3 linked regions of the Drosophila melanogaster genome follow. The protein of the gene in region 2 interacts with the protein of the main gene of each other region in a pairwise test. Each region holds a gene or a part of one and is shown on either strand. Other genes may lie near its edges. The genes, in order: Fib, Lmx1a and Cyp312a1.

The links.
Region 1: the proteins of Lmx1a (region 2) and Fib interact in a two-hybrid assay, tested with the Drosophila melanogaster proteins (one large-scale study listed by BioGRID).
Region 3: the proteins of Lmx1a (region 2) and Cyp312a1 interact in a two-hybrid assay, tested with the Drosophila melanogaster proteins (one large-scale study listed by BioGRID).

Annotation. Positions count from the first base shown.
Region 1 is NT_033778.4:23,068,336-23,076,620, reverse strand, and holds Fib (fibrillarin), read left to right. Parts: upstream 1-1,895; 5' UTR 1,896-2,026; coding exon 2,027-2,039; intron 2,040-2,157; coding exon 2,158-2,597; intron 2,598-2,652; exon of another isoform or gene 2,653-2,792; intron 2,793-2,978; coding exon 2,979-3,560; 3' UTR 3,561-3,712; downstream 3,713-8,285. Other genes in the region: CG3085 (uncharacterized protein), read right to left, coding at 1-601, 659-1,090, 1,155-1,366; l(2)k09913 (lethal (2) k09913), read right to left, coding at 5,066-5,656, 5,733-6,014. UniProt on the Drosophila melanogaster protein: S-adenosyl-L-methionine-dependent methyltransferase that has the ability to methylate both RNAs and proteins. Involved in pre-rRNA processing.
Region 2 is NT_037436.4:12,325,028-12,336,703, forward strand, and holds Lmx1a (LIM homeobox transcription factor 1 alpha), read left to right. Parts: upstream 1-4,204; 5' UTR 4,205-4,442; coding exon 4,443-5,226; intron 5,227-9,179; coding exon 9,180-10,058; intron 10,059-10,132; coding exon 10,133-10,392; 3' UTR 10,393-10,874; downstream 10,875-11,676.
Region 3 is NT_037436.4:18,126,145-18,136,457, reverse strand, and holds Cyp312a1 (cytochrome P450 312a1), read left to right. Parts: upstream 1-3,768; 5' UTR 3,769-4,391; coding exon 4,392-5,020; intron 5,021-5,327; coding exon 5,328-5,887; intron 5,888-5,947; coding exon 5,948-6,291; 3' UTR 6,292-7,518; downstream 7,519-10,313. UniProt on the Drosophila melanogaster protein: May be involved in the metabolism of insect hormones and in the breakdown of synthetic insecticides.

The sequences.
Region 1 (8,285 bases), on a different chromosome or scaffold from region 2:
CTGCGAGGCGTTGGCCACCTTGGAGCCGAACTCGCCGCCCCGGAGACGCATGCGCAAGTCCAGGGCCCTGATGTCCGTCATCAGCGAGTGCTGCTTGTTCTCCAGATCCACGTCGATTCGCTTGCCGTGCTCCTCCAGCAGACTAAAGTTGGTCTTGCTCTCGTCGATCTTGACCTGCAGTCGGCGTCGTATCTCTCGCAGCTTCTCCACCTCCAAGCAGAGCATGTCGTGCGCCTGGTCCATGCACAGTTCCATGCCCGACCTCTGGGCACGATTCTCCAGGCGTGTCTCGGCCAGCTTCAGTGCATCCGTCTTGTCACGCAGCGCATTCTCCGAGGTGCGGATCTCGCACATGGCCTTCTCCATCTCCTCCTTCATCTTGAGCTGCTGCCACTCCAGTTCGTTTCTGGCCCGCTGCGTCTCGAAGATCCGTTTGCGGATGGTGTGCTCCGCCCGCTCCTGCTGCGACTGCAGCATGTTGCGCGCCTTTTCGCGGCACACGAACAAAGCCTCCCGAATGGCGTACGTGTCGGCCAGCTCATTCTCCGCCAGCAGCTTTATGTTCTTCACGTTCTCCAGCCAGGACTCGTAGGAACAGGAGCTAAGTGATTGGTTAGTTATCCTACTGAGCTACTGGGACATTCCATGTGTGACTTACTTCTTGGGATTTCTCGTGGGATCCGGCTTGTATGAGATATTGGCCGAGTTGCGATCGAGCGCCAGCTGTGAGTTGTCCAGCTGCACCGCCTCCACCTTGAACTCGATCTCCAGGCCGATCTTGAAGCGCACTTCCTCCAGACGATTGAGCTTCTCCCACGCCTTCTGGCATCGATCGGCCAGCAGGCGCTGGTTGTTCTCCAGCACGACCAGTTCGTTCTTGATCTCGGTGTCGGCCTCATCGTAGGTGATCTCCGATCCGAGGCGACCGTCCCTTATGGTCAGGCACTCGGCTATCACGGAAATCGGACCTGCCAACGCCTCCAGCTCCCGTTCCGTGGCATTCTTCTCCTCCTGCAGCATGAATATCTCGCGCTCGATCTTCTCGAAGGACTTGGAAATGATATCCCGCCAGCGATTCAACTCGGAGATGCTGATGTATAAATTACAGATTATTAATCGTGCTGTTAATCTTAATATAAGATATGGACACTCACCGATCGGTCAGAGCCTCATTTGTCTCGTAGTTGGCCCAGTCGCCCTCGATCCGCGTCTCGTTCCTCAAGGATCGGGATGAGTGGCGGATGGCGAAGGCGTCCGACCTCCGGGCATCCGCCACATTCCGCATCTGGTTCACACGGGCATACCAGTCCGTCAGCGAAATGTGCTGGAGCGGCTTCTCCATCGTAACCACCGAGCGGAAGGCCATTATGTTTGCAAAAGTTTAGGTAAAACAGCAGGATTTATGCGTTAACAATTTCAGAAAGTGTGTGCTCCCAACTAGAACTCTCAAAGCGGAATGGAACGTTTTTCTCAAACATCGATTTCAAGTGGCTGTTTGTTTGGTCAACGAACACTAGATCTCCAAGGCACTGGGGTCATTGTCAAGGACTACGGGATTGTAATTATTAATCATATACTTCCATAGTTACATGCATCAAATAAGTAAAATATAATAATGTAGTGGCTCATAAAAATTAAATTAATTTAATAAATCAATCAATAATTTAATTGATCAATCAATTTTTGAATTGAATACAAAAAAAAAAGAATTACATTATTTGCAAGATATCCAAGAATAAAATGTACAGTTTTTCAACCTTTGTACCACTATGCACAATTGCCTCTCCGCCTGGTGTTGAACTTAGCTACAGTCCCAGCCAAGTTTCCCACCTAACACACACACTAACATCATTCTCTTGGTATTTTCGCCTTTGTACTTCTGTATATTATCACTAAAATCACTGCTGCGGCCACACTCCGGCACACACGTGTTTTTCTTTTCAAGCGTTTTGGTTGCCGCGTGTTGACGGACTCAATCACATTTCGTCGAAAGTTGTATTAAAAAGTGCAAGTACAGCAACATAAAATGGGCAAACCAGGTGCGTAAAATCACGCTCTAACGATACAAATCGAAGCAGGCGTCGCCTTTGCTTTTGATAGTCTCCAACTTAACCTCTGAGTCAACCGAAATTCAAATGCGGATCTTTTCTATTGCAGGATTCAGTCCACGCGGTGGTGGCGGCGGCGGCGGAGGAGGAGGAGGTGGATTCCGTGGGCGTGGTGGCGGCGGCGGCGGAGGAGGCGGTGGATTTGGAGGCGGCCGTGGACGCGGTGGCGGCGGCGATCGCGGTGGCCGTGGAGGATTCGGTGGTGGCCGTGGAGGAGGTGGTCGCGGTGGTGGTGGCGGCGGCGGCCGTGGTGCCTTCGGAGGACGTGGCGGCGGCGGTGGTCGCGGTGGCGGCGGCCGTGGAGGCGGTGGTCGCGGCGGAGGAGGACGTGGTGGTGGTGCTGGCGGCTTCAAGGGCGGCAAGACCGTCACCATCGAGCCGCATCGTCACGAGGGAGTGTTCATTGCGCGCGGCAAGGAGGACGCTCTGGTCACCAGGAACTTTGTACCTGGATCCGAAGTCTACGGCGAGAAGCGCATCTCCGTTGAGGTTTGTTGTTCTCATCTTTATTCACTTACCTTCCCTATTCCTAGCTTATGATGAGGTTGTGCAGGGGTACAGAACATGGCATCATGTGGCCATGAGCATCCTTGGCGGTCACCTGTGGCTGTGTGCACTTCAGGTGCACGTGAAGCAGTCGCGGAGCTCCAAGGGCTGCTTAGAATAATGCACAACTGAGGCGAATTCCTATCTATCTACCCTTCTATCCCAAAACAAACAGAACCCAAACAAGTCCACCATCTTGAAAAGTGATTTGAAGCTACCTGAACAATCCAAACAACTCTGTATTTCACTCAACTTACTTACTTCTTGCTTTCTGCTATAATTTTTAAGAAAGAGCAATGGATTTAAATCTGTTCTTCTTTGCAGACCAATGGCGAGAAGATTGAGTACCGCGTGTGGAATCCCTTCCGCTCCAAGCTGGCTGCCGCCGTTCTGGGTGGCGTCGAGCAGATTCACATGCCGCCGGGCTCGAAGGTTCTCTACCTGGGCGCCGCCTCCGGAACGACAGTCTCGCATGTGTCCGATGTGGTGGGACCCGAGGGCCTGGTCTACGCCGTGGAGTTCTCACACCGATCCGGTCGCGATCTGATCAACGTGGCCAAGAAGCGCACCAACATCATACCCATCATCGAGGACGCTCGCCATCCACACAAGTACCGCATGCTGGTGGGCATGGTGGACACCATCTTCGCCGACGTTGCCCAGCCGGATCAGGGCCGCATTGTGGCGCTGAATGCCCAGCACTTCCTGAAGAACGGCGGACACTTTGTCATCTCGATCAAGGCCTCCTGCATCGACTCGACGGCGCAGCCCGAAGCGGTATTCGCTGCCGAGGTGAAGAAGATGCAGGCGGACAAGCTGAAGCCCCAAGAGCAGCTCACGCTGGAGCCCTACGAGCGAGACCACGCCGTTGTCGTTGGCGTCTACCGACCACCGCCCAAGCAGTAAGAAGTCGTTTTCTGCTGGGTTTAGTTTTAAGGCTATTGTACTAATACAGACGAGTTGTATTAAGTTTCTTTTAAATATAAAACCGTAGTTATAAAGATAAATCAAAATGCACATTATTTTTGTAGCAGACGTACAAAATATACACAAAAACCAAATGCCAGTGTAACAATATGGAGTTCCTATGAAAGATGAAGATCTTTAAAGTCAATCTTTGTACAAACGTGGTTTTTCTGAGGGGTATTGCGGAAAATGGTTGGGCAAGGCTGGTATACACTAGTTTGTTTTCATCTTCATCACAGAAAGTATAATGCTTAACAATGAAATGTCAAAGAAATATTAAGGTCAGCTATTAGTACCCTCTGCAAATTCACAATAAATAAAAAATAAAAAAAGTTCTGCGCTGCGGACAGGATTCGAACCTGCGCGGGTAGAACCCAATGGATTTCAAGTCCATCTCCTTAACCACTCGGACACCGCAACTGTGTCGCCCCGGTGGCAAAGTTCCTATTTGGTATGAAGCATAGATTTCAGCACCCCCCTCACCTATCTTCGCCAGGTATGACGCACCATTTATACAGACACGAACCAAGAACTATTCACGGGGTGGTGTCTCGGCTTAAGCCATTCTTAATGAAAATTGGAGTTTCGTTCACGTGGGGCTAATGAATCCATAAAGATTATTAGCTTAATACATAAATAAATAAAATAATGTAGCAATACATTATTTTTTAGTTCGCTCTCACTTAAGCTAATAGTTTACATATAGAAGTATGAGCACATGTCATGAAGAGCAGCTATCAATTAAACTAAAACTTGTGGTATTGAAGAAATTGAACTGCATATTTCTGCATTCAAATATCTAGTGATTTACTGTCATCGCTTTGCAGAAATTCAGATGCTTATCAGCATAGAATTATGCAGGGAGAGATATCAGTGACAAATGGAGCGGACTTCAATAAGGCTGCGGTGTCCGAGTGGTTAAGGAGATGGACTTGAAATCCATTGGGTTCTACCCGCACAGGTTCAAGTCCTGTCCGCAGCGATAGTGTAGTTGTAACACGTTTTTTTTTTGTCGAACCAATTTTAACCCGAGATATTTTTTCAGACCTTTTAAGAATCTTTCATCGCATATATCTTGTGAAAATACTTGTTTAACCAGCACATACTTGATTGAAACACTCATTTAATGTGTTCGTATCATTTAAATTACTTTATTTAGCTGTTTTGCAGCGATCTCAAAATATATGTAACAATATAGAGGCGTAGTGCATTCTTCTCTCGGTTGATGAAATACGACTTTAAGCTTAGCCTAGGAATTTCCCGTGCGGGCTTTTGAAGATTCTGCCTCGCGAGAGACACACAGATCATAATCATTCAAAGAGGACATTGGTTTTACATTGCTCGTTAATCTTTAGGTCTTAGCAACTAGGGTAAAATCATAATCGCATTGATTCTTGAATAAATGTATATCACTGAACTGATCAGCCGCTCCTCGTTAGAGACACCTACAACTTGGCGCGCTTCGGCACGCCGATGGCCTCCAAGACACCGCAGGTCTCCAGATGCTGGAACAGCGTCTGCAGGTACTCCTCGCGATGCCGTATATAGTGGGCGGCGTGCTGGGACCGCTCCCAGCACTTGAAGGTAACCTTGATGTTCGCACGCTCCCAGTCCTCGCGAACGGACTGGTTGGAGGACGGCGGACCGATGGGATCGTTGTCGGACACGAAGAACAGCGCCGGGGCCTTGAGCAGCGTGGAGTGGAACATCTGGCTGGAGCGCATGTAGTGGATGGTGGCCTGGTTGTGGAATGTCTTCAGGTGGTACAGCGTATAGTTGCGCAGGGCGCTCTGCATTCGCTCGTTCCTCGGGAAGATCGACTTGGGCACGCCCACCGGGATCTCGGTGATGTCGGCGGCGCTGTCCCACACCTGGCACACGAAGCGGTCCAGAATGCTACCATAGCGATCCATGTCGCGCGACATCTGCAGCATGATCTCGCCCAGCTGGTAGGCGCCCACGGAGAAGCCATGCATCACAATGGGTTCGTACGACTTGTTGTTCTCCAGGAATCGAATAGTCTCGGCGGCCACCACCTGGTCAGCAGGAAATGGATGCATTAGTGTTTGAATGACTCAACTTGGAATGTAAACTTTGAAGGGCGGCTATTACCTGGGATCCTTTGACCGGCCAGAGTAGCTGCCACGGCGTAATGTGCACCACCACCACATCGAATCCCATCTCAGTGTAGATCTGGGCATACTTCTTCAGATGCTTCTGCTTGGCCATCAGCCAGGCCATCATGAGAACCAGTGGGTTGCCAGTGGGCTTCTTGAAGGCCAGCGTCTTGGGATCCACCTCAACTTGGGTCTTGGTGCTGGTGTACAGGGTCATGTTCTTGGTAATATCCTGCGAGGATAAGTACCGGCGATTGTTCGACGGCGCCATGGCACTCTGAGTTCGGGAGAAACGGGCTATTAGTCATGTTCGGGCACAGCTGATGCGGGATGGTTAGTGCGTTGGGTGGGTAAAATGAAACTTTAGAAACAACAAACAAGTTGGAGTGCAAGGCATACGTTTAGAATTCAATAACTAAGCAAATATGCATACGATTTCGATTCTCTCCGCTCTTCAAATGTGCGACCAAGCGATTACACCTAGGCTATTCCATGAACTAATCGCCCTGCGAACCAAAGTTTGGATAGGTCCAGTCACTAACTGAGCAGCTAACTGATAAGATATGAAAGCTTAAGTGGTTAATATGGTCCGATCGGCTGCAGATTAGCGGGGGCACCCAAATCCATGCAAATTAGGGGGAATACTTATATTAAGTATTTTAGCACTGATTTATCCTCGGCAACAGCTGCTGACCTTGAAACTCGCTCAACACGTTACAATCATGAACAGCTGTTTGTGATAAGATAAGCCCAGGTGTGTGTGCATTTGGTTATTTCATGGAATCATGTTACCGCGATTGATATTCAATTACTACGATCACTTTTCGAACTCTCAAACACTGTGATTTATAAGGAAATCAAAAGACTAGACTATTTTCATACCGTTTTCAGTGGCGAGTTATCAGAAGTTGCTTGTAGCAAGCACGAAGGCAAGTGACCAAATGAAGGAGGTGCAAAGGTTTTAGGTTCTTTTCCCCCATTTCAGCAAGGCTAAGCCGACTGATAGCATTATAAGTTCGAAGATAGCCCCGCAAAGTCTGACGATAAGCAGTTGCAATTTAGATTAGTGAAACATTATTGTGACCTAACAGTTTCCGCACTATTGAGTTAAATGAGGCTCATTATAATTGAGACAAATCGTGACTTAATGCTGGAGCACACTTTCACTTTGGCTTGACACTTTGAACTTGACCGACGACCCCAAATTGTATGGCCACTCACACGTTTCGCCCGATGATAGATCTTCAGCAGTATAATTGCCAATATGACCAGTAATGTTATTTCAATTAGGAAGTCCATATCGAAGATAAAACTAAGCAGGTGCAACGACTTTGACCGACTGACTGATCCACATTATATAGCATATAGTCCAGCGATCCAGTGGAACGATCACGGATAGTTGAGCGGAATTGAGGCGAGCTTACATTCCCAATCCCCATGGAAGGTACATAGTTATTTCAGCTGATGTGTGTGTGTGTATAGGGAGGAATATGTTTTTTCTACTCTTTGCGGCATTGGTTTAAATTACATTGCGGCACTGGAAGCCTCAGTCCCATTTGCGAAAGGTGAACTCTTAGTCTCGACTAAAAGATACCATGTGAAATTTAACTTAACAGGATTCTTTTTATATTAAGCAGTATTCTGCCCTAATTTGTTGATAGCTAACACTAACCTTTATAGATGAGTGTATAGTGACTATCTTTGAATCCGAAATACCCAGACTTAAGTTTTAACTTGGGTATCAACTTGCCGCCTAAAAATAAACACAGAACACGAACATTTGGCGGATCGAGCGAAAGCTTGGCATTGGGGCGCCATTATGATTTGAATCGTGAAAAAAGCTGTGCCCCAGCTCAATTGAGCTTGCTGAATGCGAGGGTGGATCCAGAAGTGTGCCCCAGGATAAGGGCAGTAGTTCAATGGAACTGGAATATTGATGACATAAATTAATAATATCGTTAATTGTATGGTTAGTTCAAGCGGTTAATGAGCCTTCACTAATTGCAAAACAACGATTAGAATATGTGCATATGTTTACAAATATATACAAAGTAAGCTAAGCTTATCTGTACAAATCACCATTGCAGAGGAAGCGAGGTTGGGAGAGATTGGAAACCGAAATCATTTGCCGGGTACAAAGTGCAGGGACTACAGTTTACTCAAGCATGCAAATTTCCAAAGTCACCAACTATAAAGTGCTTAAAATGAAGAAGCGAATTGGAGGTAATTAAAGGTTCAACCGCAGATCAACAACAGATGTTCAATACAAGCTGCTCTACAGCTCATTAGCGTATACCCTGCAATTTATGGCTCATCCACGTATGATATCTGATCTATGCATCGAAGCTATTGTCATTTTTTTTAAGCTTTTTAAGCTGTAAAACTATTTTCTAATGCTAACTACGTTGACCGCGTCATGGACAACTACATTTAATCTTAGGCGGTTCAGGTTTATCTTATCCTTTTGTAAAGTACATATATATTTTCATAACTACTTGCGTCGTGGAGATAATTTTGCTTTAGAATAAGTAACTAAAGAAATAATGTC
Region 2 (11,676 bases):
GCGAAATCTAAACATCTGCAAAATTACGCGCATAAATCCTTTAACACTTTTCCTTCGGCCTGGACACTAGACAACCCATTGTTGGGGTTGCATTTGCCACGCGGGGCACCGTCAAATTAGCCCACTTCAGGGTCGATCCCGCTGCGTGTCCTCTGCGCGCTCTCTCCCTCTCCTCCATCGCCCAGGACTCCTTTCTCGTGGCGGGTGCAGTGCAGCATATCTCAGACCCATTGTTTACACACTTCATATTCGGTGGAGGGAGTGGATACACATTAAATAAATAGTATGGTATTTTTAAAACAAACTAAATTGTATTTTATGCCTCATCTTCCTGCTTATAAAATGTGCTTTAAATCTATTAAGTACCCTATGAATCCCCAGATTCAAATTGAATTCAAGTCATCGCAATATTTTCGCTGCGTGTAGTAGGCGCGTGTAGTGTTGACAGTTTGCGCAGCATCTTAGTGTCTGTTGAGCAGCTGCCGAGATGTTCTTCTCTTGGCTGGGATGCCAATGAATATGCCTAGGTCCTGCGGAACCTACCCAAACTCCGAGTGGCGAGCCTTGCCAAAACAAACAATGACACCACCCGCTCCATCTGGGCGCTTTCCCCTTGACTGGACGCCAATAGTCGAGCTGTTGAGTTAGAGTAAATGTTTCCATCTAATGACCCCTATCCCGAACTCCTAACCCATGCTGCCTCTGCTGCTGGGATGGTGGTCCTGCCTGCCTAGAGGTCCTAAGGCATATTTTCAAGGAGTCTTGTGCGGTTCCTTCGGCTGGATTTTCTTTCTTGCCGCACGGCCACTTACCACTTACCACTTACCACTTTCCAATGCCAATGTCTGTGCCTCTTTAGCGCTTATCATGCTCAAATGGTAATTGAAGGGCCATAGAAGAACTATTTATCCTGAGGCTTCCGAGCGTGCTCTCCTCGATGTTGTTGCTGTTGTTCTTGTGGTTATTCAATATAACTCACTCGTTTGCCATTGATAAAAGGAGCAGTAGGCAGGGGGAGAGGTGAGCGGTACATGCACACAATGGATGCATTGAACCCAAACCCGAATCAGAATCTAAATGCCAACTCAAACCCAAAATAAAAGCAACCCGAGGAGCATTACTACCCTTTGCCATTTGTTTTCGGATGTTTTATTAAATTTGTTTCCAGTGCCCTGATATCATCATCCCCAGTTGGAAATCCTGTTTGCCGTCGAGTTTTATGACAATTTCCACTTTTTGCCATTGTCGTTTTTGTCAGCCGACTTCGAACTTATCGAGTGCATAATGTTGTCATCATTATTATGACGATTAGTGGATGGGTTTTAGGTTTTGGGTTTTGTATTTGGCTTGGCGCACAGTCGCCAGTTTGCCAGTTGTCAAGGTTAATTGAATTTTCGCTTAGCCTCGTTTTCCCTGTTGCCATCTAGTTGATATGGCAGGGCATATACATATATAAGCCAACTACTCGTGACTATCTTTATTGGGGGGGCACCAGTAAACCATAATTTCGTCACAGCAGTGGCCAGGATACTAGTGGTGGGATGGCCCTGGCCATTAACCTTATCTCCAAGCGATCCCCCGTTCCAATGGCTTTTACTGCCAAGGATTAATTATGCACACGCCTCCGAATTTTTGGTCTATTGCCGTCATAAAGTCAGTCAGTTCGGACTGTTGGACTTTGGACGAATACAATTGAGTGATTGCCGTGAAATGGCCGTAAATGTTTTATTTGCCTATCGGTGGATGGCGTTCTCTGATGACATTTTACGTTATCATAGAGAATTACCTATTGTACCTTATTGTATTAATTGCCTTAATAATTGGATAGCAATTTTAAATTTGGCATATTTATTTTTTGTTTAAAGGTTTTCGAATTTATTGGATCATATTAACCTTTAATATTTCTTTTCCAACGACTTTGTTTTTCCCCTATTTCCTTGCTACCGTTTGATGCCAACGATTGGGATTCAGATCTCGTTAGCTGCCCTCCTAAACTTCTAATAATTACTTTAAATTCAGCGCACACTTGGCAGCGACTTTGTTTTGTGGATACGAAACGGAAAGCATTCCCTTCAGATTGAGGGAAATTCGTGCAGCAGCAGAAGCAGATACTTTTCGCCGCCTTTGTTATAATTCCGCAGCAAGTGCGCACATTGCTGCTGCTGCTGCTGCTGCTGCTTCGGTGGCCTTTGTGCCAGTTGAATTCGGTAAATAAAGTTTTCAAAGTTGCACAAACTGGCAGCAACAACAATCCACAGAGGTGAAGTGAACCGAAGCGACTGGAAAGCGGGAAAAACAGGGCGAAAAAGCAGCAAGCAATGCCGATTCCTTGTACAAGTGCCGCTGCTCGATGCCAACAAGTTTGGTGAAAAGTCTCCCACTTGGCCAACTGGCAACCAACGGCTGCTCCCCCTGCGTCTGCTTCCCCAGGTATCCATGCTAAGCTACGGAGCACATATCCAGCGTAGGCGACTCCTTGGTTCACAACTTCCACGCCGGTCGGCAGCCCGCTGAGCCAAAGCCTAGTCTTAAGCCGAGGCCCAAACATCAAGTTACTGCCAGGCGATGGTGTGGTGGCCCAAAAGGGGGCCAAGAATTCGAGCTTCGACTCCAGAAGTAGCGCCAAACTTTTATGCACAGCACCATGTTTGGTTTGTCTTTCCAGCTTCCGCTTTTCTTCTTGCCGCTCGGGTTTCTCTTTTCCTTCATCCTTTCTCATCCTCGGTGATAGTATCTGTGCTTCAGTGTGTGCGTGTTTGCGGGGGCGGATAGTTGGGTTTCGGCCTCTTTGGGGGCGCCGGAAATGGGGCTGCCTCCCAGTTGTCGGTGGGCTTTTGATGCTCATACAGGGTGACATTGCCACTTCCGCTTTAAATCGCTGGAAATTAGAGGGGTATGAGCATTGAAAACTTAATAAATCTTAAATCTTGCTTAAAAGCAACTTTTATTTAATTTAAAGATATTATCGGAATAAGAATTCTATAAATGTAATTTCATAAAAGAAACTTATTTTTATGAAGTCTTACAACTTTGAAAACTGCTTAAAAAAGATTGATTTTGAAAAGAAATAAATAAACATCTTTTCTCTTTGAGTAACTACAATAAATAATGTCTTGAATCAATTATAAAGAGATTATACTTCAGTTTTACTAAGTTCTTTAATAATACTATAGTCACAGACTTAATCTTCACTTTTACAGTAGACATAATAACATTAATGGAATAAAATGTATGGAAATCATTATCCAGAATTCAAAACTAGTTCATTTAAATTTTAAGAATCCTTTAAGAATTTCAAAAAACTTTTGTTGTGAGACATTAGGTCCTTAAATAACCTGCCCAATGTATTGAGAAGCACCCGTTCCCATCTTGTTTATCGCCAACTTTTTTCACCCGCAAAAAGTAAAATGCAAGTGCAAAAAAGCGTAAAAGAAGACAAGGCCATTGTTTTTTTCTGCCTCTACTGCTGCCACTGCTGTGTTTGTTGCCTTTGTTGTTGCTGGCATTCTGGTCCAGTCGTGCCACTCAAAGAGCCAACAGCAGCAGCAGCAACAACTCAAGGAAATTGTCGCCGTCGAGCGGCAAACTCGCCAAAGTTGCCGCGAGTGCAAGTGCAAGTATGTCTTTGTGCCCCATCAGCAGCAGCAGCAGCGGCAGCAACACCAGCAACAACCAGCAACATGCAGCTGCCGCACGCCCACCGATGGCCGCCCACAAGCCGACTTGGTCTTGCATTAAAGCCAAGACATCTACGAATATGAGAAAACCAAATATAAAAAAAAACAAAAGAAAAGAAAACCCGCACTTCCCCTGCGCACATGCGCCGTGCGGCAAAATGGACGCCGGGGAAATGGCCAGCCAATCGCAGCGAGGCTGAGGTGTGGCCAGCGATTTGCGAGGGACTTGCTCTCTGCCAGAATTTCCCTCGCTGCTAATAATCACTTGAGACATGCGCACTGCCGGGGCAGAGAGGGGGTTGCTGCAACCCTTGCACCGATACAACCCCTGGCATCACGTGCAACACGAAGAGCTGCTGTTGTTGCCGCAGGCCAAGCGGCAGTTGTTGCTCCGCAGCTCCGTTGCTCCGTCGCTCCGTTGCTTTTGTAAACAGGCGCAGGCGCAGTGCGCGGGGGTACGTTTCAGCTGGGATTTTTTTTTTTTTTTGTGAGGGCAAAGTGAAATGCTTTGATTTCGCTGATGGTTCGATCACACGCCAACTGACAGCGAACGCGGCTGGTTGTCCTCGCATTCGGCAGCGCAAGAATAGGCCACCGAAATCATATTCTAAACGAAACTGAACAGAAGCGTAGTTAAAGTTAAAGCAAAAGCAATCGAGCGTCTTGTTTGTGTGTCGCGTGTTCCTTGTGCGGTGTTGCATGTGACATTTTCGTAGACTCGAAACTAAAAAAGTAACAGCGGTGTTTTGTGGCAACTCGTATACGATGCTGGAGTTCTACCCAATGCCCACGAATCTGAATCCAGTCGGTGGCAGTTTGTACTCGCTGCAGCAGAATCATGGCGGCGCGCGATTCCTGGACAATCCAAATCCCGGCAGCATGACTGCCAGCAGCGGCAACTCCCTGCATCTTAGCAATAGCAACAACAATCTGCCAACAAGCATTTCCGGCAACAATAGTCCCACGGCAACGGCTTCATTAACGGGGCAGCATCAGCAGCACCAGCAGCAGCAACATCAGCAGCAGCAGCAACACCCCCACCAGCAACATCAGCAACACCAGCAGCAACACGCTGCCTCGACCACGCCAGTGCCAATTAACAGCTGCCCCACGCCCACAGGACACAGCCCCCTCAGCAGCAGCAGCAGCAACAGCAACCACAACAATAACAACAACAACAACAACGGGGGCAGCAGCAGCAACAACCTCCACTCAGCCTGCAACACATTAACAGCTGCTGCTGTTGCCGCTGCCTCTGCCGCTGCTGTGGCAGCTCCATCGCCAGCAGGCACCTCAGTAGCCACCTCGCAATTAGGCGGAGCAGTTGCTGCGGCGATTGCTGCTGCTGCTGCGGCGGCTGCCGCTGCGACGACACCCACATCGACGGGCCCAGCGGCCACAGGAAGCGGAAATGCAAATGGCAGTGGCAACGGAAACGGAAATGGCAATGGCAATGGAAACGGGAATGGAAATGGGAATGGAGGTGGTGCAGCAACGGCATCGGCAGCAGCGGCATCCAAATTGTCTGCCGATTGCAGCGGACGCACAGGTATGTTCCAAAAGTATTTTGCACCGGCAGTCGAGCAATTTACCGGCTCGTTCCTCTTCTGGGGTTTTCACGCTTTTCGTTTTTGGCATACTTGCGTGTGCCCGGCCTGCGGGTCCGTTTCTGTATCCGCATCAGCATCCGTATCCGTGTCCAGGTTCGGTGCTGCGCTGCGTGAGTTCCAAGCTGGTCGGACGAGGCTCCAGATTGTGTACAACCACCCACACCTGAGTATGCCGGCAGTTTGCGTGCGATGTGCTCGGCTTTTTGGGGCCCAAGGAATGCTTCTCTAGGGGAAAATATATAGATATTCGTTGTTTTTTCTTGCGAATAAAGTTGAAGTGCTTATTTCAAAAGGTGTTTACTCCTGAAACTTTTCTTTAAGCGGAATATTTCAGCATTTATTGATTGCAGTAAAAATTAGCGTATATATTCATAACATTAAAATAATATAAGAGAAAAGTATTCTTCATATTAATTAGCCTAAAATCAAAAGTAAATAATAATTTAAAAAACATTAAATAAGAATGTTCTTATTTGTTACTAGTTTGCTTTTAGTTTGCAGAATGCAAGTAAAGTCAATTTGGTTAGATATATCATAGGTTTTGTTAATTATTATTGTATCAATATTAGCATAAATCCATGTTTAACTTGGAACTTAATTGCAACTCAGCTTTCAAAGAGTTGGATTTACTTTTTAGCAAGTGAAATAGCCAGAGGCAGATTGTCCACTTATGTAAAAACAGGCAAAAGCAAATGCACAATTTCCGGCTAACACGTACATATATATTGACAGAGGACAATAAATTATGAATTTGTAGTTGTGATGGCGCACACATGTTGTGGATAGTTCAGTGGGCGGATGTGCGGCAAGCATGGCGAAAGTATTTCCAAAAGTATGAACGCAAGTTGACCACAAAATAATTTTGACAATGAACCTGTCTGACATCCGCCCGGCACGGCCAAAAAGAGGCGTGGCTCGACCAATAAAAGGCTATTAAAGCATGCCACACACTGCCTCCCTCCCACACACACACACACACACACACTGATGCTTTGGCATGCAGGCACACATACACACACACTCGCATGCATGACAGCCTCAAAATAGGCAACACTTTTCAGCTGAGTTGCAACGAAAGTGTTGCTGGGGAAAACTTTTGCGAATTTCCCTCCGAAATGCAAAGTGTGCAAACAATGTGTGTGATGCATATGCAGACCAGACCTCGTCCGAGGCTAAGTGGATTGTGTTTTCGGTTTTTTAGTGCCCCTCATCCGCCCACTCAATCGCCCACAATAGCTGTGCTCTCTTGCCGGCCAACTTTGCATTTGCCTATGAAATTTCTATTAATGCTCGCATTCTGCCATTTGCTATTTGCCATTTGCCATTGCCCAAATGGCAGCAAATAGTTTCCGTTTCCGCTCGTTCCGTGCCACTACCCCAATCCACACACCACTCCCCGCCTCTCATCCTAAGCTCCATTTTCCTCGGCAAACACTTGGATGCCGGCTGCTAAACTACTATCGGTGGCCCACACTTTGCAGAGGTCGAGGAATTTCGAATGGGCTGCCATTGGGGGTGGTGTGCACTCGGGGGCAGACCACGGAAATGAGCACACTCAGTGTCAGGTATTCCACCGAGCGTATCAGCATACATATTTGGCTTCTGCGGTGGCTCCAGCTTCGTCTTCCTGTCCTACCCACAAACCCCACCCACCCAATCGCCAGTAGGTGTGCATTTGTGTGGCGGAAGTATGCGCCATACGCATAGTTCTGTGTCACTTTCCGTTGAGATCCAGCTACACTGAAACAAAACTGCTATTCAAGAACTATACGGAAAATCCACTGGAACTCACAAAGAGTACTACATTTGAGTTTAGAATGCAAAAGTCAATATATTTTGCAATCCCTATTTGTAATTTGATTAAATCTGTATCTTACATTTTAAAAGAGTAGTTTTTGAAGTTCATCCTATTTTATTCATTATTTTATATTATGATTAATACCATTTCCATGGTGTAGATAGCAACGAAGAGTTTTAAAGACCCTGTTTGTTTGTCAGTCGAAATGAAAGCTGTCGAATTATGAGCTGCCTGTCAACGATGAACTGCTGCCAAAATCCGCGTGGCACGTGGACTGGACTCCAGTTAGTGGCCGAATTAGTGCCAGAAGTTGGGTGCTGTCTGCCGATTTATCTCCATATAACCCCGCCCCGCTGTCAATGTGTCAATAAATGCACCATATAGTGCGACAATCGTGGGGCGTTCGGGCAGATAAGCCCCTTTATCGGCGATAACGACGAGGACACTTTTCTCTATTAGTTCTATGTTTATCGTCGAGTTGATTTTGGATTTATCTGCTGTTTAATCTATGTATTTGACATGAGTGTGCCGCACTTGTTCCGACTGTTTGCGCTTGTTGTTTGTTGATTTTTGGACAAGTTTCGCCCAGGCTTTACCATTCAAGCCCAAAAACACACACTCACTCAATGCAGAGTCCTTTGTTGGCCAAAACAATACAGAGAAATCGGAAAAAAAGCATACATAAAACTGCAGTAAAATGCCATAAATTTCGATTAGATTACACAAACGAAATCCCGTCACAATATCGATGCTCAAAGCTCTACAAAAACATGAGGCCAAACTCAAAACGCAGCTCCCCTCTGGGGTTTATCAAATGAATCATTCTTGATTTTTTGCTCGGCCCATGCAAAAACCTTTATCGCCAATGCGATTGGATATGGATACTGCACAATAGGATGAAATGCAAGCCAAAAAACAGAAAAAAAAGGAAAATAGGAAAATGCCCGAGGACATTGTCAACTTTCCGCTGCACTGGCTTAGCGCCCCCTTACATAGGGATTTTCGTCCCTATTCCCAGACTATATATCACCCATACAGCCACATTCGCGTAGATATGGCGACTGTGTGCGTTTGTGTGTGTGGGGAGGCCATTGTGCCAACCATAAATCATGCACATTTTTCTGCCACTGAGCCACAGCCATATAATATAACACTCCACTTCCATTGCCAGTTTCCCTCCGCACTTTTTCTCCACTTTCCCTCCGCACTTTCCCAACTCGCTGCTCATTTTTCAAATGCTTCCATACATTTTTCGTGGCGGTCGTCATATATTTTTTATGTTTACTGCATGCAGCTTTTGTTGTGTTTTTCGGGTACTACTTTTTATGACTGGTTTACAGTTTCAAGAGCTCCGTCTACGGGAGGATTAGGTTCGTTCTACTTTGGGTAAGGCGAGCTGAAATCCAGTAGCTCCTCAATGGGAGATTAGCATTTTTTAAGGGACTTTGTTTAGGAGTTAAGCTTTGGCTTAAGTTCGGTGGTATATACAATATCAATTGAGCCATTTTCTGGCATGTTTATATACATTGATAATCGAGATGGGGGGCTGTTCAATAATACCGAACAAATACGGAAAACTTTACGTTTCAATTACGCATCAATAAGCTTTCAATACAAGCTGTTGCAGTCCGACGACAGATAATTTTTTCCAGCGAAGAGTTTTCCTTCTGTTTTTCCATCGAAAGTGCGAAACAGCGAACGGAAAAACAAGAGAGACGTTGAAGCATTTTCACACGATTCGATTGTCAGCGCGCTCCTTGCTCCATTGGCAGCACATGTCATGATAATTTCGCAGCGACATGTGCCGCCATCACGTATACGCCACGTACGCCCATCACAGTAGGGCGAATAAGCGGAGTTACACTGGAACAAAATTACTAAAGTATTAGGATTCTTCTTTGAAATATTTCTGTTCTCAAGAAAATGTTTCATATATATTTTCCAAGTATGGGTTAAATATTCGATTAAATTGATTATTAATGTAGATAGATATATTTATTATATTTTAAACCTCAGTGTATTAGTTACTTGAAATGTATTCTGCGACTTACTAACGCGACTTTTTTCCCCCATCTTTGCTTGTTTCATCCCCAGAAGTGGGCCACATCAAGTGCGAGAAGAACTTCGAGCTGTGCGAGGGCTGTGGCCAGAAGATCCATGACCGATTCCTGATGAACGTGGGCGATGCCAACTGGCACGAGCAGTGCCTGGCCTGCTGCTACTGCGGAATGCAGCTGCACCACACCTGCTACGTGCGCAACTCGAAACTCTATTGCAAGATGGACTACGACCGGCTGTTCGGTGTGAAGTGCTCCTCCTGCTGCCATGCGATCCTGCCGCAGGAGCTGGTAATGCGACCCATACCGAACTTTGTCTTCCACCTGCCCTGCTTCGTTTGCTACGCCTGCCGATTGCCGCTCCAGAAGGGCGAGCAGTTCATGCTGCGCGATGGCCAGCTCTTCTGCTATCGTCACGATCTGGAGAAGGAGATGTTTCTGGCAGCCGCTGCTGCTCAGCACTGTGGGTTCGTTGGCCTGGACGAGGAGGATTTGCTGAGGCCACGGGATGGAAGGAGAGGTCCGAAACGACCACGCACCATCCTCACATCGCAGCAGCGCAAACAGTTTAAGGCCTCCTTCGATCAGTCACCCAAACCATGTCGCAAAGTGCGCGAAGCCCTGGCCAAGGACACCGGCCTATCGGTTCGTGTAGTGCAGGTGTGGTTCCAAAATCAGCGCGCCAAGATGAAGAAGATTCAGCGCAAGGCCAAGCAGAATGGTGGCTCCGGCGGAGGATCGGGCAGTGGGCGTGGCACGGGCAATTCCAGCGCCACCGACGATAAGGACACCAATGACAAGGAGGACAAGTGCGTCAAGCAGGAGCTCGGAGGAGATAGCTCCGGTTATTTGGGTGGATTGGACAGCACTTTCGCCAGCCAGCCGCTGAATCCCAATTTGCCCTTCTCACCGGATGGTAAGTGGTTCGATTTGAAGTTTGATTTCGTCCAAGCATTATTCTACAAGTACTAATGGCTTGCTTTTCAACAGACTATCCGGCCAACTCGAATGACAGCTTCTGCAGCTCGGACCTCTCGCTGGATGGGAGCAACTTTGACCAGTTGGATGACGATGCGGACTCGCTGTCGCTGAACAACCTGGAGCTGCAGTCCACCAGCTCGTCGGGCAACCAGCACTCGCACTCCCACTCGAATCCCCACGACATGCTGGCCAACCTGAACAACAGCCTGATAAACCCCATCGACAAGCTGTATCTCATGCAGAACTCGTACTTCAGCTCGGAGCATTAGATGGCCATTGGCTGGAATGACAGGGAAGCACCGAGGCGATCGTGGGATAGAGACGAATTTATTAGCGTTAGAGTGGCAGGATCCGATGGAAAAGGGACGCGAGGTCCTTGCTGTTACTTTAAAACGTAGCGCGTAGTTGGCACCTTCCGCATTCGGCGCATTAAGTTGGAGTCGTAGAACCGGATACAAGATACATCAAATGTGATTTTTTTAAGCTAATTGAAATTTTAAGATTCTTGGCGATTTGAAGGCGCAGAAAAACGGGGCGGGCAGCACATCTTTTTGTTGGTATAGACTCTAGAGGCAAACCAAAAAAAAAAATGTATAACTCCTTGAGAAATGGCAAAGTGGTCAATGCGCCCTCTTATGTTTGTAAATAGTTTTAACCACCCGAGAAAATTGTTATTAAATGTAATTTAAAAGTCAATAATTGTATTAGCAAGTGCAATTTAATCTGTTCCCCTAAAATATACATCTTAACCGAATTCTTGCAAATGTCTGTGGATCTTATCTTCGAATTAACGGATGCGTTCAATATTTTAAATGGGTTGGGATTGACTTGCGATTGTTAATATTTTTATTTCGCATGATTTTCCTTTATTTCTTATTTTTTATCCTTCGTCTTTTATCGGTAATATCGTCTCTTATTTTAAAAAATTAATTTTTTTTTTATATAATTGTAAGAATATTTATTTATTTATTTCGTATTTATTTACACAGCCTAATTTATTTTAAATTTTTTATTTGCCGTATTATCGAAAAATCCATTTAAGATGCGTTGATGCTTGATAATAAATAAAGAGCACAATAACTAAAAAGAAAACTTATTGCGTTTACTGTATTTACTCGACTGCGAATATATACACCTTTTTTTTGTGAATACTATGAATGCCTTAGTAAAGCTTCATAAATTGACCGAAATATATTATTTAAAAACCATATTTTTTTGCCCGCCAAAATGCTGCCCGTACAAAGCTGGCTTTTATGAAACTCGACCAATAGCGACGACAAAGCGTTGCCACATGGATAGAAATAATTAACAGATGGCAGCTCAGCTACTGCTTAATTCCTTTTAAGCCACACAGTTTAAAGATTTAATATACATTAATTTTTGATCAAATTTTATGAAAGTAATATTTATAAGCCAAATGTTAATAGAATATCGTTACTCACAATCACACATGAAATGTATCGATATGTATTTTTTAAAACAGCGATCGATAGTTTTTTATTTTTACAGTGCACATCTCTAAAAAAAAACAACGCGTTCGTCGAAATTGCAAT
Region 3 (10,313 bases), 5.8 Mb from region 2:
TAATAAATATGCATGCAATTAGACAAATTTAAAACCTATTGATTACTAAAGACAACAATTTGATTTCAAGGCTTATGTATTGTTATATATGTATACTATTTTAATGACTTTGAAGAGCCAGAGTGATTTAATTGAATCAACATTCGCTAATGAAAGACATTTAATTCCCCGAGCTTAATGAAGCCTTAGATTGGGCTGTCAATTAAATTAATTTGAAGCAATAAATACGCACGTAACACCAACCGATTGAAGATCCCAAACCCTGTCAGAGAAACGGAAACGGAAGCAGCCGTCGAGTCTCGTTTTTAACTTCCTCAGGATGGGCGCTTTGAGCTGAAACCGCCTCAAACGCCACGAAAAAATGAACACAGACCGCAGGAGCAGGAGGCGACGAAGTGAAAGACACCGCCCGCGGCTTCCATTTACAGCCCGCCTAATTTATGCTAAACGCGTCGCGTCTTTGCATTTAATTGTGAAATTAAATTTGATGCGATTAATGTTGACACAACATGCGATTAGTGCTTGAATTCTGCACTGTAAAAACTTTTTAAATGCAATTATTTTGGTGGCATTTTGCAAAGAAATTAAACGTACTTAGAACCCAAAGAAGACAGAAAAATTGTAAGAAACATACATACAAATACACATAAATTATTTGTCTTCTATATGTATAAAAAAAGCACAATTCCTTGTAGTATTATTCGCTGCGCTTAAATGTATTTATGATACTTTCTCTATTTATTAACAAAAGTTAAAATTTTTAAAGGTGTAATCCTTCGCCCACTTGCGGTTGCCCTTTGGGCTTTGCTCGGCTCACCTTTGCTGAGAGATGGAGATACTGGCAGATATCTATTAGCCAATCGCCTTGCATTTGGCAAATTATCGTTGTTTATAATATGACAATATTGGATGGCAGCGACAGCGACATGGACAAGCCTTACATAAACAATAATTAAATGTAGCCAAATTAAATTTTACACAAAAGCAGAACACAAAGTGACAGCTGGGCGGTCCCTTCCACGGCCTCCTGGCCCATCTCCAGCTCCCTCGTCCTCGACTTGGAAATGTCTGCATAATTATGTGGTGCAAGTGGGTGGGTGGATGGGAATGCCTCAGTTGAGTGGTCGAGGGCATGTGTGAGTGTCGTGGCTGATAATTTGCAGTTTAATTACAGAACACCGATGGCCACAAACAACAATGACGAGGGGAAGATCGAGTTACCCAGCACTCGATAGTCAAATACTCTAGCCGCAACTCTCTTATAACTTCAATAAAATAAATACATATTTAAAATCGAATAAGCCAAGTGGATTCTGTATTTCCTATTTAAGTATGACTGGATCCGGGTTTTGAAGTAAATAATATTATAAGACTTGTGACCATACAAGTACAATACATAGGAATGCAAAGAGTACTCATCGCATGGCCAACACTTTGCTGCATAAATTCAAATTAGTTTGGTACAGTCCTATCCCAATATCAAGTCCTTGCTGGACTCATCCTATTCGAGCCTCACCTCCTTTCGTGGCCACGCATCACTTTTAATTTCGATGTGAGACAATGTTCTTGGTCCTGTCAGGTGCATAACTGCATTATGTCCTTGTATGTGGCATAGGCGTCCTGTTCGCGTGCGGAGGGGAGGATCACTGTTTATTGGCGTCCATTAGATAAGGAATTTACGCGAACGCAATTGTTGGGCTTCGCTTCGACTTCAAAGGGTTATTGTCGTGCTTTGTCCATTTAGTTCCGATTAGTGGCATTGAGTGGCATCCGCGATTATGCGGAGGCATTGAATTGAATTTATATAGGCGCAAGGGGCATGAAATATTCGAATGCAATAGAACTATGTTTTTTAAATTTTAAAGTATTTATGTCAGTAATAAAATTTTAAATAAATTATTTATAACTTCAACATAACTGCGTTAATGAACCTAAAGGTATGCTGCACATTTTTTCATTTTCTTATGAGAACTAAAATACTTGCAACATTCTTATGTTGCACACATCTTAACTAAATAGTAAATAAACACAGTTTATTTAATATTAGGAACTCAAATAAGTATTTATTTCTTGGCTGAAACTAGGTTTAACGTACTTTTTATTAATAAGTTTATAGTAATACAAGTTTGTTTACTCATTTGTTATACACACTATCGTGATTACACATCTGAAAGCTGAGCCTAATAAAATAATTTTAATTAAAATCATACGCATGTCATTCAATGTCCTCTTATTTAAATAAAAATTTCTGAAACGCCGGAAGAGAAGGGAACTGAAACACAGAGATATGTATATACACAAGTAGCGAATTGAAGGATGAATTATTTTTGTATAAAATGTTGACCAGCGAATATTAATTGCAACCCAGACCCATTCGCTTTAATTACAATTACTCTTGTTCTTTTATTGTGTATTTTGTCGGCTGATAACTTTTTTCGTGTTAATTAGTGTAATCGTGGAGCAGGGGAACTACCTTAGTTATTGTACCTGTCACTATTTGTATATTTGAATTGAATGGCAGTTGGTCGAGAGGAAAACCAACAACACAAACTCCTGAAGAGTGTATTAAATGACAATCACAATAAAGTTCCCATAACTGTAGAGCGAATTTTAATGAATGTGTATTCTATGCGTAATAATGAAAATAAAACAGATATTATATAATTGACAAATATGACACACTGTTTACGCATTAATTGCGGGGAGTTAAAGCCAGCTATACTCGTACAGTTTTGTTTGTTCTTAGCTGATGACTCTGATAATTGTAATTTTTTTCAATTCAAAACTTTAATTCAATAAATATTCACTTCATGTTCGTTAACTGTATTTGTTGTGGTATTTTTTATTGGCATATTTCCAAGCATTTATCTTCATTACAATTTTTGTGGTAGGAAACTGATCAATATCCTGGTCAGCCCACTTCGTTATTCCCAAATCAGGTACTTTCTGTAAGCTAAATTCTCTTATCTTTGTTTATAACATTTTAGGAAATTGAAATCACAATTTCTCTCCACGTATGCACATAAATGGGTGGCCCCAGCGCAATAATTCGTCAAGTTTTATGAGCTTTATGAAATTGGTATGCAACCGACAAAAGTACAATCGAAATTATAATTCAGCAAATTAAACGATGCAGCATCGATGAAATTGAAGTGTATTTGCTTGCGAATTTTGGCATGACGAATCTTGAGTTCAGGGATGTTACTACTTAGTTAGATGTTGTAAAAAAGAAGAACTCTAAAAGCTCAACTATTACAATGGAAACAAAAGTCAATATATTCTAAAAGTATTTTTGTTTTCTTGAAGTTTTGCTATACAATTGGTTACCGTGAAAAATATACTAAAATGGCTTAGCTGCAATTTGCTATTACAAGATTATATGATCCTCATACTTCATCTATATTCATCATCATATATTTCATTAGGTATTCTTCTACGGCTGCAGTAATTGGAACACTTTAGTGTCTTATATCATAACTTTAAAGTTAAAAGTAGCAAATGTATAATAGAAATTTCAAAATAATAGCGAAAATTTGAAGAACTTAGCAATGCTATCCTAGAGCATTTCGAATCCGACTTAGAAATCTACGATTCACCGATTCTCAACGTATTGTTTACATCTCCGATGCCCGATGTTAAGTACTTAAGCGACTGGGGGGCGAGCAAAAAAGAGTCACTTCAATTTCGCTTCCACATCGATTTGAATACGCTTATAATATACATATTCGGGTGTAAGAAATTCGTATAAATAAATATGCGCAGTGTTAATAACGCAGTCGACCCGACAGTTGCTCTTAATCGCGGCGCTTTTGCGCAATACTAAGCCAGTGCAGAATATTTAAGATCGTTTAGTTTGTGCACTCAAAAAAAAAAAAAAAAAGAGAACACCAGACAGTGGTTATTTGAAGATGTTAATGTAAAAATCCAATACTACTGTGAATGGACTAATATTATAAGAGTCAAATGATTTTATTCAAATACTATTCACCTTTTGACGGGTTCGCTTATGAATTGAAATAGAATGGTGTTAAAAGAAAAGACATAAAATGCACATCGATAACTAATTTTATTTGGCACTTTTATGTGACAATTAATCATTTAGACCGCGCATAATATTACAAATTGAAAAAACAAATGAATGATCACATTTTACTGTGAATAGTAAATGACAGCTTGTGAGAAATATGTCGCTGTACACTATTTTTTAAATTTATACACTGTGCACCGATTCGGTTTGTTTTTTCTTGTGTAAATTCGCTTGTTACCCAACTTTTATGACCCTTGGGTCCGGTGACCCTTTAGTAACCGTCTGATCTTCGCGTCTGTGTTCCGCTTAAAACGCTTGATGCGACGCTTCAACGAGGCAGTTGCTCTTTAGAACGTCCGTCGCAATGTTCTGGCTGGGATTCGGATTGCTGTTGCTCGCGTTGTCCCTATACCTGCTATATGTCTTCGAGCGGCAGAGCAGGATCGACCGGCTCACCCACAAATGGCCAGCCCCACCGGCCCTGCCATTCATTGGCCATCTGCACATTCTAGCCAAATTGGTGGGACCGCATCCACTTCGACGAGCCACCGAAATGATCAACGAACATCTACACGATCATCGAGCAAAACTATGGATGGGCACTAAGCTCTATCTCGTGGACTGCAATCCCAAGGATATACAGGCTCTGTGCAGTGCCCAGCAGCTGCTGCAGAAGACCAACGACTATAGGGTCTTCGAGAACTGGCTCTGCGAGGGTCTCTTCACCAGTGGATTCGAGAAGTGGTCCCATCGCCGGAAGATCGTAATGCCGGCCTTCAACTACACCATGATCAAACAGTTTGTTGCCGTCTTTGAGAAGCAGTCGAGGATTCTTTTGACGAATGTCGCTAAATTTGCCGAGTCCGGGGATCAAATTGACTTTCTGCAACTGATCAGCTGCTTCACTTTGGACACTATTTGTGAAACGGCCCTCGGAGTCTCTGTGGGTTCGCAGTCGAGCGCCAAGTCGGAATACCTCGATGCTGTTAAATCGTAAGTAAACTACACGTGTATTACAAGTCCCTTAGAGACAACTTAGTTTGTATTTAATCAGCAACTACGGTGTGATGAATCATAAAATTTTCGCACATTAATTAAACAAAACAAACAGTTGAGAAGATATAAAAGACTCATCCAGCACGCTTGTTCAATAAAAATTTCGTAACCCATTATAGATAGCTTAATTGTTTATTAGTCAGACCTTTTTTTTATTTACTTACTTGGAAGCCATAGAAAAAATACAAGTTACAGGTTACGTTAGTTTTTAATATTGATATTATACATCTTCGTTTGCTCACAGAATCCTTGTCATCATCGATAAGCGACTGAAGAACATCTTCTACCGCAACTCGTTTATTTTCAAACGCACATCGCATTATAAGCGAGAACAGGAGCTGATAAAAACGCTTCACGGATTCACAGAGGGCATTATACAGAAACGTATTGATGAAATCAACCAGGATGCAGAGAATCGCAACTACCAGAGCAGTGATGCGGAATTGGACGGAGTGAAGCGGACCCTATGCTTTCTGGACACCTTGCTACTGTCCAAGGGTCCCGATGGCAAGCCTTTGACAGTCAAGGATATTCGCGAGGAAGTGGACACCATCATATTTGGGGGATTCGATCTCACGGCCACCACCCTCAACTTTTTCATGTATAACATGACTCTTCATCCGGAGCACCAGCAGCGATGTCGCGAGGAGGTGTGGTCGGTATGCGGCAAGGACAAAAGTGAACCCATCTCCATAGAGCAGGTGCGCCAACTGGAGTTCCTGGAGGCGTGTATAAAGGAAACTCTGCGGATGTATCCTTCAGGTCCACTCACTGCCAGAAAAGCCACAGCCAACTGCACAATCAGTAAGTACATATTGTTATTTGTTCCTAGTTATATATATACAAATATTTTAAACTTTCTAGATGACTTCTTCATACCGAAGGGTAGCGATGTAATCATTTCACCAATTTACATGGGACGTTGCAAGGACTTCTTTCCGGATCCGATGGTCTTCAAGCCAGATCGCTGGGCAATTGGAGCGGAGCCCAAAATTGAGGCCACCACTTTTATACCCTTTATGGCGGGGGCTCGGAGTTGCATGGGCCAGCGGTATGCGATGGTCATGCTCAAAATGGTGCTAGCTCACCTGCTGAGGAACTTCCTGTTCGAGCCCCTTGGCGAGCGACAGGTGAAGTTGAAGCTCAACTTTGTGATCACGCTGCATACCGTTGAACCCTATCTATGTAGAGCTAAAAATCTAGATTGAGGCTAGCCAAAAGTTTTTCACTTAGCCAATACGTTTGTCAATAAAGTTAGGTATTATTGTAGGTACATTCCGCTTATTCTAGTCTTTTGTGTATTTTTTTTCCTTCAGTTAAGCTGCTTCTACATGGCCCAAAGATTGCAGGTATTCTTTCTGTAAATTATGCCTCCTTAATTAATTCAATCAAACAGATAGCACACTCTTTTTAAAGCATTTTTATCAGGGATTCTTTTAAGAAAGTTTAATTTACGAAGGCTTTTCAACTTCAAACTTATTATGAAGCTTTTAGAATAGACCGCTATCAATTCGTTTCACTTGGATCCTTTCAAAGCGTTTACGTTTCATTGCGACGCACAACATTTCCGTTTTTAATGATATACTCGTTTAAAAAAAGAATTCTATACGATTTGAAGTATTTTTTCGCCTGCTCATTTTTATGCGATTTAAGCAGGGCGCGTTCGTCTAGAAAATAATTTCTGGCTGGCGTGGATTTTTATTGTGGCAACCGAGCAGCGGAAAATCAACAAACATTTCCTGGCGCTGTAATAAATAAAAATGCATAAAGCAGCCACCAAACCGTCGCCAGTCAGTCACTCGGTCTGCCTGATCCTGCCACATCCTGCCTTATCCTGGGGAAAATACACACACTCCCACTCCCGCCGAATCGCCATTATCCACCAGCATCATCATCGAATTCCGGTGCAAATTATGAGCGTTGCCTGCTTATTATTGCGACAGCCACGGGGGCGCAGGATAAGGCGGAATATAAAATGCAATTTATTTAAATAAAAATCAAGTTTAATTCGCAGTGTCGTAAATTTTTCTTTTATTTTTTTTTTTATACTCTTCAGCTCGTCCCGGGCATTGAATTTCACGCTTTTGTTAACAAGCGCATAAAAGTTTGTTCTATCTGCCAACTGATACGATTCTGGCATTCAGAAGCCCCAGCAGAAGGGGTTAGAAGACTGTTGAACTCAGTGGCTGATTGGTGGTGTGAGTTTCGGGGGTGGGTTGATTCTCATATTATGGCCGGTACATGAGAACGGAAACGATTTCAGCCAATTTCCAAGCATTCCAAATCGATTTTAATCAATGATAAAAAATACATAACAAAATATCAAGCCATTTTTTAACAGAGAAAATAGCTTAAAGGTTTTGAAGAGTTACACCAGTAGTTGGTAGAAATAATACTGTAATTAAAGAATATTTTCAAAATGCCAAGAAAATTTTATTTCTAAACATACAACAAACAATGTATTAAAATGTGTTAAATATAAGTTGTCTTAAGTTAAATAATCAATATGCGAAATAAATGTCTGGTCAAACGACAAAATAAAAAGGTGAACAAATTTTTATTCTTAACATAATTTAAATAATTTTCCCGCTAAACCGGATTTTAATTTTGAACCCGGTAACTTTCGTTTTTCGTTTTAACGAAATAAATTTTGTAACTTAAAAAAATGAGTGCATTTGATGACGCCCAGTTGAAATTTTATGACCACCCCCACCACCTTAGGCCCGTTTAAAATCCATCTTGAAATTAAAATATGCGCCTAAGGAACATGTTCCCAAAAACTTTGAGTGCTTGGCCAACATTTTACGATCGTTTTATTGGTTATGCAATCGCGGAGGGAGGCTTTAACCCTTCTGTTGGCACCCGCCATAACTTAATTATCCATATGAATCCTTGCCGGCTTTTATGGCGACCCAACCCCAGCGGCATTAATTATGATGAGTACTTGGTGGTGTCTCTCCTTTTTAGTGTCAGCTGTCTCATATTTTTATCTATCTTAATTCGCAGATCTTCACGGTGGCTTTCTCGTCGTGTCGCCGCCCATTAAAGCGATATGGAATCCAGGTCCGAATCCTAATCCCGGTCCAGACTTGACTTGATGTTTTATTGCTGCTGACTGGGCGCAGTTTTCATTTACACAATTTTTATGCCCAGCATCTGTACATCGGGCATAAGTTTATGATGGAGCATAATTCACGGCGTGGGCATCGTCAATGTTTAATGATCAAAAAGGCCCAAGGCGAGGGTTCTTAATTATAATGAATTCGGGAAGTCTGGGGTTGTTTTGCATTACACATTTTATTTTGGACTGACTTGGAAATGAATGCAATAATCTGTGGATGTATTTCGCAAAATTTCAGGTATTTCAGGTATTATCTAATATCAATGAAATTATTCATTATATTTTTATAAATAAGTGCAAAAATGTATTGATTTTATTGACTTACTAAACTGTCGAGAATCAAGGCTACTTCGAAATACTGTTACCAATTAACAACAAATTTTTTTTACAAACAAAATTCATTTGTCGTCAAGACGAAAGTGGCTATTACGGCCACATGTGGTTTTGCTTGCCGCTTTCCGGTTAATTCACAATTCTCATTGTTTCAAGTTAAGTAAACCAGTCGGCGCCCCAAAATGAGAAAACAGATTAAACCCTCCGAATTGTGGTCGTTTGAGGTGAGCTATGGCCAAGTGATGTGTGATGGGGCTTGGGGTTTCATGTGGGGGGATGTGGTTTTCGATAAGATGGGTGGGTGGGCGACTTTGAAGTAATCGGTCCCGGTGACATTGCCCTACGGCTAAGCCTCATTTGTGGTTAAATTGTGTCGCCGGTCGGCTGCTGAAAGTCGATTATGTCAATATTGTCCTAGGTTTACGACGGCCCCACGGCTAATGGCTAATGGATGGTGCCCATTTGCTTCTGGATCGCATCCGGGGTTTGAGAATGCATATTTGCGATAAGCTGCAAGTTTGCGGCCAACTTGGCCGCAGCTCATATGCTAATTAGTGTGGCATACTTTAAGGCCGCTCACCGATACGCATTAAATCGCAAAACTTTACGACGTGAAAAAGGGGGCGGCTCCCAAACGCCCATATGCGAACAATACCGCTATAAACTTACTGTGGAAATGCATAAAAATGCGTCGGAATACATTTACGAATCGAATTACAAGCGAGTTGCGAAAAAAAAGGGAAAGAAATAAAAGGAGTAGCTGTGCTACACATTAAAAACGCATAAAAATCGGCCAAATAAAACACTACAACGGACAAAACCGAATGGAAAAGCTACACATAAAGTGGCTATGAACATAAAAATCTGGATGGCATTGCAATTGGGCGGGGATGAGGAGGTGGAGGAGGCTTTTGCACAGAAACCAATTGAAGCAATCAATTAAAATTGATCAACGAAATTGAATCACGTGTTACAATTTTCCGCATCCACTTACATCATGTAATCATCATACATTTATTACATGTAATAAAGTTACAATAAAATTCAAGACCATTAAATTGTCTCAAGCTGGAGATTTTGTTACTTTAAAGTGATTTTTTGTTAAGTATCTTTCACCGCTAAAGAAATCTATTTTGAATATTTTTGATTTATTTGTATGCCAATTGCAAAAGTGGTCCCTTAAAGCTTATAAACAATGCTAAAGAAAGTTTTACCTTTCCAGCGAATTTCCGAAAGGGAATTCGCAAAATGCAAAGCAGAATCGCAACCGTTTTGCTAATGTAATTAACCAGTCTGCAAGTAAATGCACAAAGCAAGAAATTAGTAAGGAAATTGGGTAGAGAAAGAATGGTAATGGCTCGCCTAGAAAGGGGTAAGAAAATTACAAACTGTTGGACCAAAATGTCAACTTAAACTTTTTATGCACCGCCGGGAATAGGAAAAAAAGCTGAAACACACAGCTGTCTTGGTCAGAAGGTGGCTAATTACACTGCACAGCAAACAACGAAATGAAGCAGAAAAATGCGACTGGAAAGGAAAAATTAAATGCAGTCCCTTAGGGGACGGAATTTGTTTTGCTGAAGACATTAAACAGAAGCCAAGCCAAGCCAACAGTGGAAAATTCCCGGCACGTAGGAGTCACAAAAAATAGTGATACAGAATTAATTAAAAACAAAAATTGCTTAAGGAAATTGTATTTTATCTATATTATTGCAGATCCCGAGACAGGGAAAATTACGCAGCTTGTCAGCAGCACATGATGCGAAAACTCAAACC